2 linked regions of the Lonchura striata genome follow. The protein of the gene in region 2 binds, or shares a complex with, the protein of the main gene of each other region. Links are inferred from orthologs where the notes say so. Each region holds a gene or a part of one and is shown on either strand. Other genes may lie near its edges.

Region 1 (3,912 bases), on a different chromosome or scaffold from region 2:
TTGTGGGAATGAGAACATCAATTGTAGGAATGACTGATAAAATTATTTAATTGACACTAACAAAAAGATTTAGATAAAAAAGTATGATGGGCAAGTGATGGATTAGACTTTTCAGTATACAAGAAGGCTTTCTTTTGCATCTGACTCTAATGGAGATGAAGAGATCATTTCACTCTAATTTGACAGGAAGGTGCAAATACTATAGATGAAAAATCAGAATGAAAACTGCAGGTTCAAAAATGTTTCAAATACATTTTATGGGAAGATCAAAAATAAAATTAGTCAAAGCTCACAGAATTAACGCATTTTTGTAACATTTCTTGAAGGCAAAATTTGGCATCTCTTGATGTAACTTCTTTGGTTTTTTTTTCAAATAACATAACAAAAGAAAACATTTTGTGGCACAAAGAACCTTCATGTTTCAAAAATTACTTAGTGGAGGTTAACAGCTGAAAGCTAGGGAATTTCAGTCAAAAGTGCACTTTTGATAAGATAGAGGACCACATCACTTTGCAAAAATTATATTGCTATTTTCATCTTCTATCTAATCTGAATTGTGAGGATCATGCAATAGCTGAGAGAACACCTTCAGCAAATGATAAACAGTACCAAATAACCTCTGAAAAGCTGAGCTTCCCATGTATATAAATCAGCATTTAAGAATTGCATAAAATAAACTTTATCCCAGCAGTTTTTGCTCAGAGACCCAAAGACAAGGCTAGACTATTACAACCCTACTGCATCCAACAAAAGAGGGTAGGAAATAGAAATACAAGACACAGCTGCTGCTTCTATCTTGGATTGTGAACATTAGGCTACGTTTAAGTAAAAAAAAGTTTGCTTTTAAACTAAAAAGTTTGCAGAGACTCTCTAGCAGTTTCTGGAAAAGGAGCTGTAACTATAACTTATTCTGTGCAACATTTCTGGTGTTTTCTCATTGAAAGAGAAATGAATTTGAGGGACTTGCAGTGAATAAATAATTTGTTGTAGAGAAAGTGCAATTTAGCGGGGGGGGGGTGGGGAATGGAACTAATATGGGAGTTTCTGCTTTGTAATTCAGTTTTGCACATCCCGATACCATCTCAGATCAGCGAACTGGCGAAACAAACGCACAGGCCAGGGCTAGTGCGGTCACTAGAGAGAGCTAAATCCCAGGCTTTTATATATAAAAGATATAACCCTGAAAGGAGCGCTGTCTCGGGCACAGAGCGGCAGGAAGCGCAGAGCCTCCGCAGCTCCTCTCCCTGCTGCTGGACAGCGGGCACGGGCCAGAGGGATTGCAGGGGCCGCGAGTGAACCGCAGGGAGCGGCGGGGCTCGGAAGCAGAGCGGAGTCCTTCTCTCGGGTGCCTTCTCTCGGGCACTGTCCCGTACCCGAGTCTGTGACAAGTGATGTGCGCTCCCTTGCCGCGTCCCTGTCCCCCCTTGTCCCCCGATGCCGCGGGCGGAGGCGCAGGCACAGGGCAGGGGTGATGCGACGGCAGCTCCCGGCTCCCCGCGGGGCGCTCCCGAGCAGCTCTCATTGGATTGCCGGGATTTCTGCCCTCCCGGAGCGGCGAGGGGATGGATGGCCGGGGGAGGCGGGGGGAGGCGGGGGCGGCCGCGGCTCCGCCGGCGCGGCCATAAAGCGCGGCGGGGCCGCGGCCACGCAGCGAGAGCCCGCCGTGGGACCGGCTCCGCGAGGGACACAGCGCCCAGAACAAGGTACCCGCGGCCCCGGCCCCTCTCCCGCCGGGAGCTGGGCTGCCCGGCCCCGGGAGCCCGTGCCCACCCACTTCCCAGCCAGCGTTTACCCGCTGCGCTTTGTTCCAGATGCAGAGGTGCACCGCTTTCCTGCTTCTGGCTTTAATCCTCTGTGCCGCCCTCTCGGAAACACTCGGGCTGGTTTTCTCAGTAAGTATCCGCGTCTCAGCCAGCGAGGGACCGCGAACCTCCCACGGATACACACTGCTCTTAGATAGGATTACAAAGGGTACAGCACTCAAAACCATTTTGGGCTATAAACAGTTTGCCTCTTTCTTTCTTTCTTTCTTTCTTTCTTTCTTTCTTTCTTTCTTTCTTTCTTTCTTTCTTTCTTTCTTTCTTTCTTTCTTTCTTTCTTTCTTTCTTTCTTTCTTTCTTTCTTTCTTTCTTTCTTTCTTTCTTTCTTCTTTCCTTCTTTCCTTCTTTCCTTCTTTCCTTCTTTCTTTCTTTCCTTCTTTCTTTCCTTCTTTCTTTCCTTCTTTCTTTCTTTCCTTCTTTCTTTCCTTCTTTCTTTCCTTCTTTCCTTCCTTCCTTCCTTCCTTCCTTCCTTCCTTCCTTCCTTCTCAGATAATAATTTGGAGCTTTTGAATACTAGCTCTCTTGTAAAAAAAAAATTGCTATGACTAAGAATGTATAGTTGCTAGCCCAAAATTGAATGGGTGTCCCACCTTCCTCCCAAAGGATGATGTACATATGGACTTCTTTTATGAAGAGGCTGTCATGTAAATCCGAGCAAGAAAAAGAAGCACTGCCGTTTGCTAAGGTGGCTATCAGATGGTAATATAAACTTCACGTATAAAGTCGAAATTTCTGCCTCTGAAGTGTGATTTGCAGTCATCACTTACGTGGGTGTGAAACAGTCAAACCACATGGAAGTCAATAGCAACACTATAGACTTAGACAGGGAGGGAGCAAGAGCTCACCATGAATATTTACTTCAATATGATTTGCTTTGTTTTAAAATATTTTTTTCTTAATTTTGAGCCTTCAAAAAATTCTTTCTGCTAAGAGAATGTCCTTTTGAGTGTAGGTCGAGCAATAACATACTTGTGGTTTTTTCCTTTAAGGCGAAAGACAAAAGGGGTTGGACTTTGAATAGTGCTGGTTATCTACTCGGGCCACGTAAGTGAGGCACTTCTTTTATTCATTATTTCAAAATGCAAATATTGTGTTATTCACTTCTCTGTATACAACAATTTTATCTAAATCTGCAACAAACTCATTTGGAAAAATACTTGTTTATATGTTTGTTACATGCTTATCATAGAACTGAGGTGTCTGAGACAACAGCTGTTCTTTTCTAAGGAAGTGTGATGATGGGAGGCCTTATGTCCAGAAACACATCTGCTCACATTTTGTGCTTCTGAACTGTAATTTTCATATGACAAATATGTCACCACAAAAAGTGTCAAAAAACCCTATAGCATCATATACATCATGGTCAGAATAACAAAATGTGTACCTCTCCATGTATTTCAGATCTCACCTTTAAATCTTTTTACAAAATTTCACTACTTGACTTTATAAGACTACTTTTTTTTTAATTAAAGCAAAATAAATTAAAACAGTAACTTGCAAACTCAAGACTGTTAACAGTTCACTATGTGAAAAATCAATATACAAGGTGTTTGAAATACAGGAGTACTGGTTTACGGGTGGAGATAACAAATGCAGGTTGTAAGGAAAGTAATGCAGAACTAAGCTGTCTCAAATGTTTGTCCTTTTACCATTAATTCTTGTGAATGTGGTTACATTCATCACCAATGTTTCTGTATTTTCAATCTCAGTAACACATAGACAAATACTACACATACTTACTCTGATACTCTTCATTATTTTTAGCTAACAATAAGGAGACATAAAAAAAGAAAAGAAGTTTAATGCATCTTAAATGCATCTTTACTGCTTCTGTAAATGTCTGGAAGTATATTTGCCCAAAGCACATCTAAGCAAATTGGAAAAAACACTGTGGGGAAATGTGCTTGTCAAAGACTTCTATTTTGCATCTAAGACTGGATAATAGGAATCATCCTTTGTTGCAGGTCATATTGATCAGCTTTTACTGAGTCAATTAACTCCTCTGATTTTTAACTTATTTATCAGATGCAGTAGATAACCACAGATCTTTTAATGACAAGCATGGTTTCACTGGTAAACGTGAAGTACCACC
Region 2 (3,912 bases):
CATCAGCACATCTGGGCAATTGTGTTGGTCACTGCTGCTGCCAGCTGTAGCTCACTGACTGGTAATTTGGAAGCAAACCAAAACCCATTTCGTTCACAAGGTGTATGTGCCGGTGAGAATATTCTCATGACCTCGCATCCGTGTGCTGGAGCAGTGTTGTGTTTCGCCCCGCTCTGAAGGGACTGGCTTTCCAGGAGCTCCTGTTTCGGCCCCGTGTCGCGCTGCCCGCGGCTGCCCGGCTCCAGGGAGCCCGCGGGCACTCAGCACGGATGCGCTCCTGCCGCGGCGGAGCTCTCGAGCGTCGTGACTTGGCAGTGAAAAGCGGCTAGACTTGCTATTATTCCATTGCTGTGTGTGTGTGTGTGTTTGGTTGGTTGGTTTTTAATAGGAAGGCGTGACAGCGTCTGCCGCCTTTTGCCATTTGAGATACTGCGTGATTAATGGAGGAAATCCGTGAAGGAGGTGAGAAGAGCGAGCACAGGTGGCGCTCAGTCCGGAGAAACTCCTGCTGCCGGCTACCTGTTGAGGCGGGTTCACGCGGGCGCTTCATCATTTCTGTCGTTCCAAGCGACTACATCGATGCCCGGCCGGACCAGCCGAGCGCCGCCTAGCCCTGCTGGGAGACGCGGCTCCCGAGCCTCTCCCGGAGCGGAGGCACCGAGCGAAGTTTTCCGGGGAGAGGACCGGGGCCCCGGCTGCCCCCCTGGGTGGGGGGCACTCACAAGCTGAGGGGTGGGAAGAAAAGGCGGGGGGAAATAAAGAGGGCAAGAAAACCGCACCTCCCCTTTCTCCGAGGACGCGTTCCCGGGGAGCTCAGCCTCCGAGGCAGCGCGGGAGGCGCGGAGGCTCCGCGGCTCTGCGGGCGGGGCGGGCGCGGGTCCCCGCCGGGGCGGGCGGAGCGCTGCTGCGGAGGGCGGCGGGGCCGCCGCGCCGGCTCCGCGACCGGCAGCGCAGGCTGCGCCCAGCGCGGCGGCACCTCCGCCTTCCCTCCCCGCCGCCCGGTGCCGGCGGGGCGGCCGCTCCGGGCTCGCCGCGCTCCGAGGAGCCGGGGAGCGGCGGCTCCGCGTTCCGCCCGCGGAAACTTTGCCCGGCGCGCAGGAAGAAGGATGGAGCCAGGAGATCCCCCGGCGGCGCCCCTCAACCTGTCCCGAACCGCGGCAGAGACTCTCCGCGGGGAGTTCAACCTGTCCGGGCTGCCGGAGGCGGAGGGGAAACCCCTCTTTGGCATCGGCATCGAGAACTTCATCACCTTAATCGTTTTCGGCTTAATCTTCACCCTGGGGGTGCTGGGCAACACGCTGGTGATCACGGTGCTGGCGAGGAGCAAGCCAGGCAAGCGCCGAAGCACCACCAACATCTTCATCCTCAACCTGAGCATCGCTGACCTGGCCTACCTGCTCTTCTGCATTCCCTTCCAGTCCACAGTCTACGTGCTCCCCACCTGGGTGCTGGGAGCCTTCATCTGCAAGTTCATCCATTACTTCTTCACCATCTCCATGCTGGTGAGCATCTTCACACTCTCGGCCATGTCTGTGGACCGGTACGTGGCCATCGTGCACTCCCGACGCTCCTCAGCCTTGCGTGTTCCCCGCAACGCAATGTTGGGTGTGGGGCTCATCTGGGCGCTCTCCTTCGCCATGGCCTCGCCTGTGGCTCACCACCAGCGCATCTTCCACCGCGAGACCAGCAACCAGACCTTCTGCTGGGAGTTCTGGCCCAACCCACGCCACAAGAAGGTCTACGTGATTTGCACATTTGTCTTCGGATACCTGCTCCCACTGCTGCTCATCTCCTTCTGCTATGCCAAGGTGGGGCAAGTGTAAAAGGATGGGAGGGACACAGGGGTGGAAAAGGTGTCCATGAGCCATAGGGCCACTTCTGGGTATGTGGAGAGACTTGGCACTGTTGGGAGGAGAAACAGCAGGGGTGAGTTTGTGCCACAAAGGGAGAGGGCACAAACTCTTTGTGACTTTTTTTATAGCTGAGGGATGTCCAAGGGATTTACATTCATATATGTTCAATATCACAGAGAGGTCAGAACAGAGATTGCATGGGATAAGTGGGGAGAGTTGTTCTGGCAATTAGTGGGGTCTCCCTGTCAGATTTCCTTGTTGCAGAATGCTAAGTCCGAATGCTCTGCTGCTTTCCCTGTCACCATAACTTAATTTCTTGTAGTGCTGTGTGAGGAGTTTGACTCAATAAAGTACAACAAAGCAACAAGTTGTTCGGGCTTCAGATGAAGTATTGTGGTTCTTTAAAATGTGCAGTGCACTTGAAAGTGGCATAAATAATCTGTTTGGTGTTAAGAGTAAAATGTGCTTCATGCTGCCTGGTCCCTGTGGTGCCATGTCTTGCCCCAGTTGAAGTTGATGAGAGAGTTACCTCTGACTTCAGCAAAAGCAGGTGGTTAGGGAGCAAGGCATGAGAACCCAGGTAGGAAAAAGTAATAATTAAGGGTGCCTGAATATGGATATTTAAGGGCTTCTCTGCTTAAGCACATTGTCACATTTTTCTGGACTAATAATTGCAGCCTTCAGCGTATGGTCCTCTGCTTGCTGGTAAACAGGATCTGGAGCACCAGTTGCTACCTGCTGATATCTTGCTGTTTCTGTGCCAGCTGCCTTCAGTTGCAGGATTTCTCCTTAGGCTGTGATTTTCATTTGAGAGGGATAGGACTGCTCTAGCAAATATGGATTGCTTAAGTCAGTTCTTCAACTGGCAAGTTCAATACATGTACCTGAAGCATTTAATTTGAACAAACAATTTTATGTTCTGCTCAGTTTTATATATATTACATCAGCTTAATTGTGATGTGCAAATTGAGGCTGTAATGTTATCCAACTCTGGTGAAACCAAGGCATGCAGAGCACAAAGGACAACATTTCTAAATGGTTGTTCATAGTGGAACAAATCCAACCTGGCAAATGAAGAAGAAACACAAGTTTTCACACATAAACTGAATCCTGCTTTCCCTGAATGAATACAGTGGTATTTCATCTACTGTGGATGAATATGACTGAGCTGTAGAAATAGATTTTCAGTTTGAAGAAAGTATTACACATTGCAGGGAGAACACCACAGAATGTGTGCACAGGGGCTTTCAGCTGCTAATGCTTCCCCTTCTCAAAGCCAAAGCATCTTCAGTTTCAGCATAAAGTACTGGCCTTTGAAGTCTAATTATATGAGAGAAGATTAATAAGAAATCTTTCAAAATTAGCATAGTCCTGTACAGTGTAGGCATGAAAAAAGCGAATGTGCTTAACCTGAATATATGCATAGTAAATAAAACACACTCTGTCATTACAAAGCACCTCTACAGAAGTAAATATCTCAATATTAGTATTAATATGTAGTTTTTAAAAAAAGCAACAAAAACCTCTCCAAGCCAACAAAAGCAACTATATGTTGAAAATATGCCCAAGAACAAGTTAGCAAAATCAAGGCCACTTGAAATTACAATAAAATTGTGTGCTTAAACTATTGCCAGGCTAGGGCCTCACCCTGGCTTTGTGATGTGTTTTGAGCCTGCTTGCCATGGTGTCAGGCTGGAGGAGCTAACCTGAAGGGGTGAATTTTAGAAGATAGCTGAGTGGTAGCTGGTACAGGCTGAATAGTGCCGTGACTTGTACAGAGCTATCAAAGGTATTTGTACCCTGCACCTAAAGACTCTCTCCTGCCTCTTAAGGAACCACTGACAAAGCTCCAACTGTAATATTTTGGGACAGGGAGAGCCTTCTCAGGCTGAGCAACCCCAGCTCTCTCAGTCTGTAGACATTAGGAGACATTAATCTCTGCATTAATCTCTTATGGACTTCACTGGTTTTCATGAACTGTGGATCAGTGAAATAACGCAATCTTCTGCTGAAGTAAATTAAGACAAAGGAGACTCATTTGTCTATTTGAACATATTGC

What was found.
Region 1: the proteins of GALR1 (region 2) and GAL are in contact, whole or in part, in a cryo-EM structure (PDB 7WQ3), measured with the Homo sapiens proteins. The link is inferred for Lonchura striata from reciprocal best matches to the Homo sapiens genes GALR1 and GAL. Residues at the interface, in NP_001471.2 of Homo sapiens: Glu32, Gln92, Thr94, Val95, Tyr96, Leu98, Pro99, Thr100, His112, Gln174, Phe177, Arg180, Gln184, Phe186, Cys187, Trp188, Glu189, Gln190, Ile266, His267, Ala270, Phe275, Leu277, Ser281, Phe282, Arg285; in NP_057057.2 of Homo sapiens: Gly33, Trp34, Leu36, Asn37, Ser38, Gly40, Tyr41, Leu42, Leu43, Gly44, Pro45, Val48.

Annotation. Positions count from the first base shown.
Region 1 is NC_134608.1:43,945,956-43,949,867, reverse strand, and holds the start of GAL (galanin peptides), read left to right. Parts: upstream 1-1,639; 5' UTR 1,640-1,703; intron 1,704-1,811; coding exon 1,812-1,892; intron 1,893-2,809; coding exon 2,810-2,864; intron 2,865-3,845; coding exon 3,846-3,912. UniProt on the Homo sapiens protein: Endocrine hormone of the central and peripheral nervous systems that binds and activates the G protein-coupled receptors GALR1, GALR2, and GALR3.
Region 2 is NC_134603.1:59,681,799-59,685,710, forward strand, and holds the start of GALR1 (galanin receptor type 1), read left to right. Parts: upstream 1-1,005; 5' UTR 1,006-1,106; coding exon 1,107-1,808; intron 1,809-3,912. UniProt on the Homo sapiens protein: Receptor for the hormone galanin. The activity of this receptor is mediated by G proteins that inhibit adenylate cyclase activity.